Coturnix japonica: one gene and its partners. The protein of the gene in region 1 purifies or fractionates together with the protein of each later gene. This does not show direct contact. Links are inferred from orthologs where the notes say so. Each region holds a gene or a part of one and is shown on either strand. Other genes may lie near its edges.

Region 1 (3,746 bases):
TAAAAACCGACCATATGAGCTTCTCCAGACAGCTCTTCTCTGTCTCTTAAACTTTAGTTTACAGCACAAAGACCACCTCTAAGAAAAGAGATGTAGTGAAACAGTCATGAAAACACTGTAATGTAATGACTGTAATGCCTTCATGACTCCTGTCTGTTTGACCTTGTGGGTGGAGCCAAACACAGATGCTTACCCTGATTCTTTTCCTGAACACTGCTCATCTTTGCTACTCTATAAGATATCTGGGCATCCATGCTCTTCTTTCTTCTAGATAGGAACCTCATAAGACGGAGGTACACTCAATTCTTCTTTCCTTTAAACTCCCTGTGGTAATTCATTCACCACAGCATCTCAGAGCTCTGTGCTACGGACCCTGTTATGCTACATGAGCCCAGAAGAGCTGTAACACTTCTCTCCCAAGCACAAAACAGATGGAAGCTTACAAACGTATTGAGAGCTATCAGAAAGCGATTGTACTTCAACCTATTAATCCTGAGCTCTGCAAGAATGCAAGAAGTGAACTGTACATGGCTCTGCCTTACTGCACCACCCGAACGACCAAGCAGAGCCTATTTGTTGTTAAACACATTTGGTTTAACCAGAAGCACAGATCCTTTAAGCCTCTGTTTTGCCACACAGCGGCTGGCAAAGCAAACCACCCTCTACAAAAGACCACAATATTTAAGATCTTGACACAGCATTTTCCCTTGGAAACAGATAACTGTGCCATGAGCTGGATCTTTAAGGCAAACCATTCTCTGCTAGCGGATGGCTCAGAAATCACCCTTGTAATGTGATGTAATTATCAATCCATGCTGGTTACTTAAGGATAAGAAGAACAAGATTCGAGGCACGCACAGTGCTCACAGTAAGAGCTAATTGTACATCGACACTGAGAATGTAGGGATAAAAAAGGACAACATCTGAGGATTAGGAATTCTTGCACCAAAAGTTGCAGGAATAAAGAGAGAAATACTGAGACCTGAAAGTCTTTCCTGATGTGGGCTGGATACATAATACATACATACAGATACATACAGATGAAACCATTTCCCAGCCCTCTTCCATACATAAGACAGTAACAACTGACTTGTTTAACTTCTACCCAGCAGTTAATCTGGATTACGAAGCATGCCTTTACTCTACTTGCACTTTAGAACTCTACTGGTCACCATTTAATTTAGAGAAGCCAAATCTTTAGTAGGAATACCTCAAATCACAGCAAGATTGTTCCGATTTTAACTGCTGCCTTAAAGCACTAATGGCTGCTAATGAAGATTTTGTGTGTCACCACGTTCTCTCATAGCACCCTTCATTCTTTTACACACAGAGAGCACAGATCCCATCACAACAACATGGCTGGATTCTTCATCAAGATGATATTATGGATAACCAGCCTTTCACGACCTGTAAGCAAGAAGCTTCAGCTGACACATTATTTCAGAAGACCAACTGTGCATTGCAACACAAAAAGGTACCATTGCCTACAAGAAAAATACATGTATGCCCTGTGTACACCACTAAATACAACATACATGAGCTAGGGATGCCTCCACTCTCTAGACATGTCCATTTAACCTACTTTAATGCCTGCAAGTTCCTCCCCTCCAGTTATGTGTTCTACTTCCCTATGTTACCTCCATTTCCAAACACCAAACGCTTGTTTCTATGTGGCAGCACAAACATCAGTATCTATAAAACCTATTTCTGTACATTGAATCCATTTTGTGCAGTTTGAGAGATTTAAAATACCACGACAACCTTCAATGCAGCCCATTGAACCATCAGCAGTGAGCCATTACAACACAGAGCAGGTAAAGGCACTTCTATCCCACAGTCTTCACACTCGCACAGAAATCACAGCAGTGATTGCGTGCCTTAAGACAAGAGGGCAGCGTTCAAGTCAGGGCAGAGCTGAGCTGTTCTCATTTTTATGGAGGATCTGATGCATTTTTTAACTTGTCATCCCTGAGTTGTGTGATATTTCTTTCAGGCCTTACAGCAGACAGCAACATCCCTGTGACAGCGATTTAACCCAGTGCGCTGCGGTGACATTTAATGCTGATGCTCGTGCTTCTTTCCCCAGATCTTTTCCCCTTTTACAGACAAATATCGACGCCCAAGGTCACCAACCACCAACGTTACGAGGCAGCCGAATCATCCAGGAGTCCAGCGCTGCCTAAATTAGGACACGATGCGAAGGGAACATCGCGCTGTGCCGGCACCGAGGCACGACGCAGCGTTGGCCATTGAGCTCCGTCAGGACGAGGTGAGGCCCCATAGCCCCCCCCGGTGGGTCCGCACTGAGCCCCGCTCCTTACCCAGGTAAATGTCTCCGAAGGATCCGCTCCCGATCTTCCTGCCCAGCCGGTACCTGTTCCCGACCCTCAGCTCCATGGCGGCGCTTCGCTTCGGCCCCGACCCGGTTCCGTCTCCCTTCCCACCCTTCAGGCCGGCGCTCTTCTATCTCACAGCCCCGCCGTTCCTGCCGCCATCGCGGCCCCGGTCCCGCCGCTCGGTGCTGCCGAGGAGAGCGACGCCGCCCTCGGAACTGCAGGGAAGGATGGACGCGGATTCAGCACAACGCCGAGCCCTCAGCGACTCCGGCCCCGAGCGGCCATACTGCGTGACCTCACTTCCTTAGCAACGGGGGCGGGGCGCGCTGCCTGGGGCGTTGCTGGGGAGCCGCCATAGTGTGTGACCTCACTTGGGTGGACTTCCGCTTCCGCCCACCATTTCCGCTCTCATCCGCCCTTCCCATCGCGCTCCGTAGGTCCTCAGATGACAACTGCGCGTGCGCGTCCTGCCCCTGACCTCTCTGCTCCGCCTGTCTCTATGGTCTCCGGTCCTCCAGGCAATAACACGCATGCGTTTAGAACGCGGGTAGTGGCGTCGCTTTGCTTTTACCGCTCTGCGCCGCCAGTCCTCCAAGATCTATGGTCATCGGTCCTCCAGTTTCCCAATGGACGCGGTCTACATTCCTCCAGTCAACAACAAATAACAATAACAATAACAATAACAAGAAAAGCAACTTTCACATGCAAAATTAAAAAATAAAAGAGTTCATCCCCGTGATAACGAGTATAATTTAGACCAAGGAGTTCTAAACAGAAGCAGTATTTCCTAATGCTGTGGGAAAAATTGAGATCACCCCACAGTCATTCCAGCCCTCGTTACTGTTGCTCATCACATTTGCTTTGCAGAGCAATATCTGGGCAAAGAATTGAGGCATTAACAGCAATTGATTGCTATGGGTGAGCAGATATTCTTCCTTAGCATCACTGGGGTTAATTACGCCGTAGATTTTATTTCCACAGACAGTATATACTCGTAATCCCTCCAGGAGGTGATTCATACACATCTATCTCAAGTAATGGCGTTCCACCATCCATCCCGTGGCTTCTGCTGCCATCTAGTATCCTTTAGCATCACCACAGCCCACTCGGCAGCCTCTGACTTCCCCCACCACCTTCCTCACTTGCCCACTTGATAAACTCCCTTCACTGAGGTTTGCTTAGAAGGAGAATGGCTATTAAAAGTAATTTATAGGTACCAACCCTGTCACTTTTGCCTCCTCAGCCATCTGAGCATCTCTTAGTCTCAGGATAGGGATAAGTTCAGCATCCTGTCTTTACTGGGGAAGGAGAGGGGGAATACATTGACACCTGCCTGTTCCATCCCAGCCTACCCACAGAGCAAGGCTACGCAGCCTTGTGTAAAGGCCCTGGCTTCTTTGATGTTTGTTA
Region 2 (3,647 bases), on another chromosome or scaffold:
TCCTATTACCAGCTCTTTAAAAATGAATTATTCTGCAGTCATGCAAGCATAGCAAGTATCAGTGCAAACAAGTGGGTGTTCACCTTCCGTGTCTGGCAGATGTCTGAGAACACTGGAGATGGAAAGCTGGAGCTGTGACGCACATGGACCTTCAGAAGCCTTCAGACTCACTCTAAAGAAAGCATAGAACACAGTCAAAAACAAACCAACCAACCTAGTTAAGCAACATTAACACGTTATCAGTCTCTTTACACAATGGTATTCACATGGCCTATATTTGAAAGGGGAAACTACTCTATCATTAATATACCTATATGATGCACCACTCCCCTCCAAAAAACCCTTCTCTTCATGATCAGTGCAAGCAGACAACAGCTGCATTCTTTAACCTTCCCACGCTGCCCAGCATTCATGCCATGCCAGCGCTCAGGACAAGAGCTTTAAGAAGCAATTAGCCACACTTACGTATTTGGTAATGCACTGCAGCAGGCGGTAACAGAGCAGACAGAACAGCAGCCACCTCAGCTGCTACTAGTTCCTGTTTATCAGTTTCTCACAAATAAGGAAGCCACCCATAATTACCCACTTTATAACAATCATCCGTCAAACTTGAAATAAAAGATGTCTGCATGTAATTGTATGAAGGAGGAAATTCAGAAATCCAACTATCTGATGCATCTGCAGAAACACCAGATATTCAATAACTCCTGCTACCTGCAAACTATTTTTCAATTCTGGTATCTTCATTTTGATAGGAAAACCCTTCATTTCTTCTAAGACTTCTTAATAAGCTACTAAGTGGAAGACTTATCACAGCAACTCAATTTCACCTCACAATGCCCCACAGCAGACTGTGTGAGCTGACAGTATCTAAGATGTTTTGCCCTACTATCAGCATGCCTTAAAGTTTTTCAGAATCCAAGGCAATCTACACCTTCGGTAAACACAGACATCGATTGCTTCTCGAGTTTAAAAGCACTCCCTTTAATCTCTGGGCGCTGAATAGCAGTACATAGAGTGTGTGCTTTTTTACTGCGGCACACAGAAACAAGTGGCACCTCTGTTACACATTTCTGCAGATCAGCTGACAGAAAAGAGAGTAAGCAAAGCAGCACATACTGCCACAGAACACTAAATTCTTCTTCCTCCTCCAACGTTTCCTGCTCAGGGTTATTTGTTCTTCCTGCATCTGGCTAAACAAGACTCAGCTTCCACAGCAAGTTTGGGCAGATCTACTGCAGGCAGGGCAGGGCAAGGCCAAACTGAGATCACTCCAACTTACTAAGAAAGGATTTCTAAGCAAACCTGAATAGCTTCATGCTAATTTACCCCAGATGAAAATATCTTCATTAATATTTATAGTGACAACAAACAAGCCTTCTTTCCATAAGGTAGCAACCTACCTCCCAAAGCTGAGCTAAAAAAACAAGCATTTTTCAGTTCACCATGACTTAGGATTTATCTGCTGAACCCTCACATTACAATACCCACCGCATCAAAACACACACAACGTGCAGAATGCATTCCAATCTGCTGCAACCCAGCTATCTAATCAACATTAACATGAAACTCGTACCTCAAATTTGTTTCTGCTCAGTGGCTGCTGCACAACTAACACTGAACACGAGACCTGTCTGCAATGAGCACTTCATTTCTCGGGTCTCTTATCAAAAGGACATATCGGGAACACATAGGCTCAGCTGCCTACTAAATAGTCAGCTGTGGCATAACTGTGGTCTATGAGAGTCAACAGGGGCACGTAACTCTGCCAAAAGCTGCTCCAGCAGCTCGTGCTGTTAGAAAGAGCTGTTCCCCTTACACAATGAGTCACACTAATTGACTCCCAGGCAGAAGCGCAGAACCTGAAGTTCCGAGCTCGGCAGCCCACCACGCAGAGCTGCCTGCCCTATGGAGCAGCACGCGTTCTCCAGGACCTGATGTACCGTACAGCCAACCCCACACATACAGCACCTGCAATGTCCCAGAGCCCACCACAACACAGCCGCTCTGAGGCCCTTTTCCCGCAGCCCCCAGCGCAGCTGACACCAATTACAGCAGCGTGGTTCCTCAGACCCCCCAGGCGCGGCTCCCACCCGAGGCACAGCCGTGTGCCCGCCCCGCTCCTGGCAGCACAGCCCGCAGCTCCGCACCGCGCCGCCGTGACTTTGCAAGAAGCCGCTCTGCTGACCAAAGTCCTCCGGCGCGAAGCCTCTATCCGTAACGAAAAAAGGAAGTCACGACGCTGCCCGAGTTACGAGTTCTAAACCTCCGTCACACGGACCCCGTAAACCCGGTGCTCACACCGCCCCGCAGCCCGGCACGGCGCCGTCCCGCCGCAGCACGGAGCGCCGAGGGCCGCGGCACGGAGCGCTCCCGATCGGCGACCACCGCCGTGCGGCGCGGCGCTAACATGGCAGCGGGGCTGCGGGCGGAGCGCGGCCCGCTCGGCTCCCACGGCGCCGACTGCGAGCGCGGCCCCCGCCCGGCGCTACGGAGACCAAACCCAGCCCGGGGAGCGCGGACGAGACGGGCACCTCGGCGTGTCGGCGTGTCGGCCTGCTCCTCGCCGCGCTGCCGGCCGCGCGTCCCGCTCGGCTCCCCGTAAAAGCGGAGAGCGGTCGGTCAGGCCCGGCCTTCGCCCTCCTTCCCTTCCCCTCCCCTCCCCTCCGCTCCCTTCCCCCGCACCGCCGGGGGTTGATCCGAGCGCCGGTCCCGGCCGCGCGGGCTGAGCGCTCTCCCCTACCCGGCCCCGGCTCCGCCGCCGCCCGGCTCCGCTGCGGCCCCGAGCCAGGCGCGGCGCGGCACTGCGCAGGCGGCGGGCGGCGACACCGCGCTCCTGGGACTTGTAGTCCCGAGACATGGAGTCCCGACACATGGAGTCCCGCAGCCCCGGCCCGTGTTCTCTCTTGATCCCGCACCGAGGCCGCGGTACGGCGGAGCAGCTCTGATACGTTGCTCTGATGGGGAGCTGCTGTTGCGTGGCGCGGGGGAACGCCGGGCTCGGAGCGGGCACTTGGCGCTGCGCGGCACCGACGGGCGCCGTGCCCCGGGATGCACCGGCCGGACGCTGCCCTTGTCCCGCCGCTGCTTTACGACAAAGGGCCGTCAGGGCTCGGCCGGCCCTGCGGGTGAAACGCAGCGACAAGTAGTAGAGTACAACGGGCAGCGATCTGCCTCGTGTCACAGCGCTGCCTAATCATAAACAGCATCATATGCTGCAGCACCATCGCAGCTGATTACTGCTCCATGGTCACAGGCTGATCTTTAACTTTGCCCTCGTTTTGCAGCTATCCCAGGGTCCTCAGGCAGCACAGAGCTCACTGCCCGCGGGATGGGGCCTGGCACAGCCTCACCATGGGGAGCAGGAGGCTGAGAGTGAACAGCTGCACGTGTGGGTACGGCCCAGAGCCACCCGCACCCAGCGGTGTTTCTCATGACACGTGTAGTTCAAATAGAACACAAAAAATGTCCCAATAGAGCTATTAAGAAACTTGTTCTCTTAGACAAAGGGTGACTGGAGACACTGTTTCAAGTCCAGCTCTCATTTGGGCACCTTGTTACAGTGTGCAATGGCAGCAGCCCGGCTGTAACACAGAACAACAGCTCCATTACAGCATCGCTGCCCATAGAGAACTGAGGGCAATGAG
Region 3 (3,746 bases), on another chromosome or scaffold:
TGATTTGCACAGAGGTGTCTCTGATGTACAAAACCAAAGCAGAAGGAAAAACAAAACACCTCCACTCCATCACATTTAGTACTTACATTCTCCTTCTCAGGACAGACACCCAAGTTTTTGCACATCTCCAAGAAATAGGGCAGAAAGTCCTGATCAAGAAGGATATAGACAGGGACCAGGCGCTTGCTGTAGGCGTTCTGAAGGTCACTGAAGATATCGATATCTGTGAAGGAATCCATAACAAGGGCAATCACCTGTAAAGAGAAGCAGCAGTTCAAGGGCTTTAATTTACAGAGGACAGAAGTGGCTCACATGGCCTCCTGCACAGCTGAACATCTACAAACATTCCCTGTTTTCTCTTCAGGCCACATGATAGAAAGGCAGCTCTGTCCCTGCACAAATCACCAAGGCAACACAGCCAACTGAATGCATCTCATGAGAGCCTGGGAAGAGCACATTCTGGGTTCCATCCAACACCTTCACAAAAAAGAAACACCCATCCACTCACAAGCAGATGCAGATTCGCCATCGGAGTTCTTTCCAACAAGCAAGTCCAAAGATGGAAAGATTTTCATTCAGTGCAGGCCACAGACAAAGCGTTCTTACATTTCTAAACAGTCTCTCCATTCAGAGCAACACCACACACCATTTCCCAGATTTCCAGCCCTTTAACTTGGGAACACACAGCTGCGTGGGTGCAGACACAAAGGTTTGGCTTCGTGACTTACTGTTGTCCCGCCAGATGAGCAACGAGAGCTATTGCACTTACCTGCCCCTATCTGCTCACCTGGCACACACCCCCTGCTGTACACCAAGGCCCAGGCACACAGCGCTGTGTGTGTGGCACTGCTGGTGCTCAGAGGAAACATTTCCCACAAGAACAGACTCAGCTCTGCATTCCCACCTGAGCCCTGTCCTTAGGGGGTTGGCCCTAAACAGGCAATTCCTTAGTTATAAAACACAGGCAGGCTGCATTTCTAGATATAAGTTAGTTTATGCTTTTGTGCTCCTCACATACAGCCTCTGGTCTTCTCCACTCTGTCACTTCTCCAAGTGCCAGAGCAAGATGGAGAAAATTAGGGCAATACCGATGAGATGAGGTAGGAAAGAAATTAAAACTGAACAGTAAGAACACAAATTTTTTGGGAAATACTGCTGCCTTCAAACAGCAGCATCTGAGTTCTAATAATTAGCAGTATTAGCAGCTAAACAGGATAGAAAAGCTCAAAATAAAAGTAGTTATAGGAGGTAGAGAAAACCCTCTTCTCTGTGCTGGGCTCTTCCAGGTGCAGAGATAAGGCAGCAATTGCACCCACCTCAGCCTAAGCTGGAAGGGATCCTCAAGGATTACAGAGCCCAAGCCCCAGCTTCACACAGCAGCACCCCAACCCAAACCCTATGGCTGAGAGCAATGTCCCAACACTCCCTGAGCTCCAGCAGCTCAGGGCCATGCCCACTGCCCTCTGGGGCAGAGTCTTTCCCTGCTATCTCCACTGTCCCAGCTCCATGCCTTCCCTTCAGGTTCAATCTCTGCTCATCAGAGTTTAGTCCCTCAAAGTGAGAGGGAACTCAGCAGTGCCTGAAGCTTTCCTACTGCCCACATTAACCCTAAGGGTGCAGACACAACCAAACAGCACATCAGTCAATCATTTCCAGGGTGTCTGTTCTTTACCCACAAAAGCACTTCCCAGGCAGTGAGGAGAGCAGCGTGCCTGGCTGCTGCCGTGGTGCAAAGAACACGACAAGGAACAGCTCTATTGAAATACAGCCGTTCTATGGGGCAGTGCGATGATTCACCAGAGCCCCACACAGAACCCTCGGAGCGGCTCTTCCTGCACAACAGCCCCTGAGCCAAACCTGTGTCATGCTCATCGCTCACCTCGGTGCCACATGGCAGCACTGAGCCGGGCTGCCCCGCCCGGCAGGGAGCCGCGCTTTTCAATTTCAGCGGAGCCAATGGGACTGCGGCCGGGATCAGGAGCTGCTGCTGGGCGATGAGCTCAATTAACGACTCCCAGGGAACAGTTACGGCTCAGCGGGGCTTTCAGACCGCGCTCTGCATCGGCCCAAAGCCACGTGCTGCCTCTTTATGGCACAGCTCCATCTCCGTGGCACAATGACACAAACCCGAGCGTTCCTGCCTTCCCCCCCTCGCCGCCGCCGTCCCGTGTGTCACCCACCTGCCGCGCGGATCGGATCTGCCGCCGCACCGCCTCCTTGCAGCCGTACGGGCTGTCCCCGCCGCCCGGCTGGAAGTGCGCCTCCACCCGCGTCAGCCCGCGGAACGCGCCGCTGCCGAAGCCCGGCCAGCCCAGCTCCAGCGCCGGCGGCTCCGCATCCGAGCGCTCGGGGAAGTAGGTGAGCGACGACGCGTCCAGCGACGCCTCGGCCGCCGCCTCCTCGGCCGCGTTGGGCGGCACGGCGCCCCGCGCGATGGCCTGCACCTCGGGCTCCGACAGGAAGGGCGGCAGCCGCTCCCGCCGCAGGAAGGCCCGCAGCGCCTCGGGGCCGCCCGCCACCAGCTCCTCCAGCGCCAGCCGCTGCGCCTCGCTGTACGGCCCGGCCGGCTGCGGCGGCCATTGCCCGGCGCCCTCCTCCAGGCACTGCGACGCGTTGGCCATGGCCACGGCGGGCGGGCAGCGCCAATACAGCGCCGGTACAGCGCCTTTATAGCGCCTCTATAGCGCCTTTGAATCCAAACGGCGCCGCGCAATGCCGCCATTGGCCGCCCGGCCCGGCCCGCCCCGCCTCCCATCTCCACAGCTCACCGCTGAGAAGCCCCACAAGAACCAGCAGCGTTTTCTGTGTTATTAAAAGAAATTTAATATATATATATATATATTCTTTTTTTAAATTAAAAAATTCATTCTCTCTATTAAAGACGCGGGTCAATTGCTAATACTGTCAGACATACCCTTTTGGCATGAGTTTTTACATAAAATTGAAGATTCTATGCGTTGCTTCAATACGTTAAGAAACCACCTCTTCATACTTACAGTAACAACAAAGTCAGTTCCGTACAATATCAAATATCCATTAAAAAAAAAAAAAGTTTTAAATATATTAGACTCTGATTGCCAAAATGCCATTTTTATACACAAAGCTGCTAATACAATATACAGTCCTTAACGTTATTTTTCCTCACATAAGATACACCTGGTGGGGTTGGGCCTGCACACTCTGCAGTGGGTGGATGGGGTGAGGGTTATTGCCCTGTGCGGCTTTTGCACTGCTGTGTAACCCGTATCTCTGTCCTGGTGGAGGTCAGTGTGTTGGTGAGGTCAGAACACGCTCCTTCAGCGTTGGCTCCTCTACCACAGCTGGAATACAGCGCCATGTTCTGGGTCAGACGTTGCCTGAATAGCCCAGTGATACCCAGTGGGGACTGCAGCCTAGTGCCTGTGTGGGCAGGATGAACACAGCCGAAGAACAACCAGTTCTGATGTATGGCCATAAAGAAAACAGAACTCTGGATATTAACAGCACTCTGAGCACGTGTTGGACTCTGCTTAGTTAGAGCTGCTATACTGAAAGAGGTCAAAAAGATTTATTCAATTATCCTGATCCTTTCCATTCTGTGTGTTATAAACAGTGAACATGGGAGAAATGAACACACAAAACCTTCAACACCTGGCACGCTCTGAACTGTTTTGCCTTGCAAAAGCATTTTAGAGACCAACAACAGAGTAATTTTAGCAAGTATAAGGCACAGAAATACCCACAGACACAGGGAGGACACCTTCCAG

What was found. Proteins that work in one complex are often made in the same cells at the same time.
Region 2: the proteins of CSNK1D (region 1) and GAPVD1 purify together in Homo sapiens (affinity purification with mass spectrometry; 5 studies listed by BioGRID and IntAct, counting the BioPlex papers as one, with this or other methods). This does not show direct contact. The link is inferred for Coturnix japonica from reciprocal best matches to the Homo sapiens genes CSNK1D and GAPVD1.
Region 3: the proteins of CSNK1D (region 1) and protein FAM83D-B-like purify together in Homo sapiens (affinity purification with mass spectrometry; 4 studies listed by BioGRID and IntAct, counting the BioPlex papers as one, with this or other methods). This does not show direct contact. The link is inferred for Coturnix japonica from reciprocal best matches to the Homo sapiens genes CSNK1D and FAM83D.

Annotation. Positions count from the first base shown.
Region 1 is NC_029533.1:4,228,481-4,232,226, reverse strand, and holds the start of CSNK1D (casein kinase I), read right to left. Parts: upstream 2,654-3,746; 5' UTR 2,398-2,653; coding exon 2,322-2,397; intron 1-2,321. UniProt on the Homo sapiens protein: Essential serine/threonine-protein kinase that regulates diverse cellular growth and survival processes including Wnt signaling, DNA repair and circadian rhythms. It can phosphorylate a large number of proteins.
Region 2 is NC_029532.1:8,084,712-8,088,358, reverse strand, and holds the start of GAPVD1 (GTPase-activating protein and VPS9 domain-containing protein 1), read right to left. Parts: upstream 2,817-3,647; 5' UTR 2,744-2,816; intron 2,705-2,743; exon of another isoform or gene 2,686-2,704; intron 2,659-2,685; exon of another isoform or gene 2,535-2,658; intron 1,563-2,534; exon of another isoform or gene 466-1,562; intron 173-465; 5' UTR 84-172; intron 1-83. UniProt on the Homo sapiens protein: Acts both as a GTPase-activating protein (GAP) and a guanine nucleotide exchange factor (GEF), and participates in various processes such as endocytosis, insulin receptor internalization or LC2A4/GLUT4 trafficking.
Region 3 is NC_029535.1:3,273,361-3,277,106, reverse strand, and holds the start of protein FAM83D-B-like, read right to left. Parts: upstream 2,746-3,746; 5' UTR 2,622-2,745; coding exon 2,181-2,621; intron 255-2,180; coding exon 87-254; intron 1-86.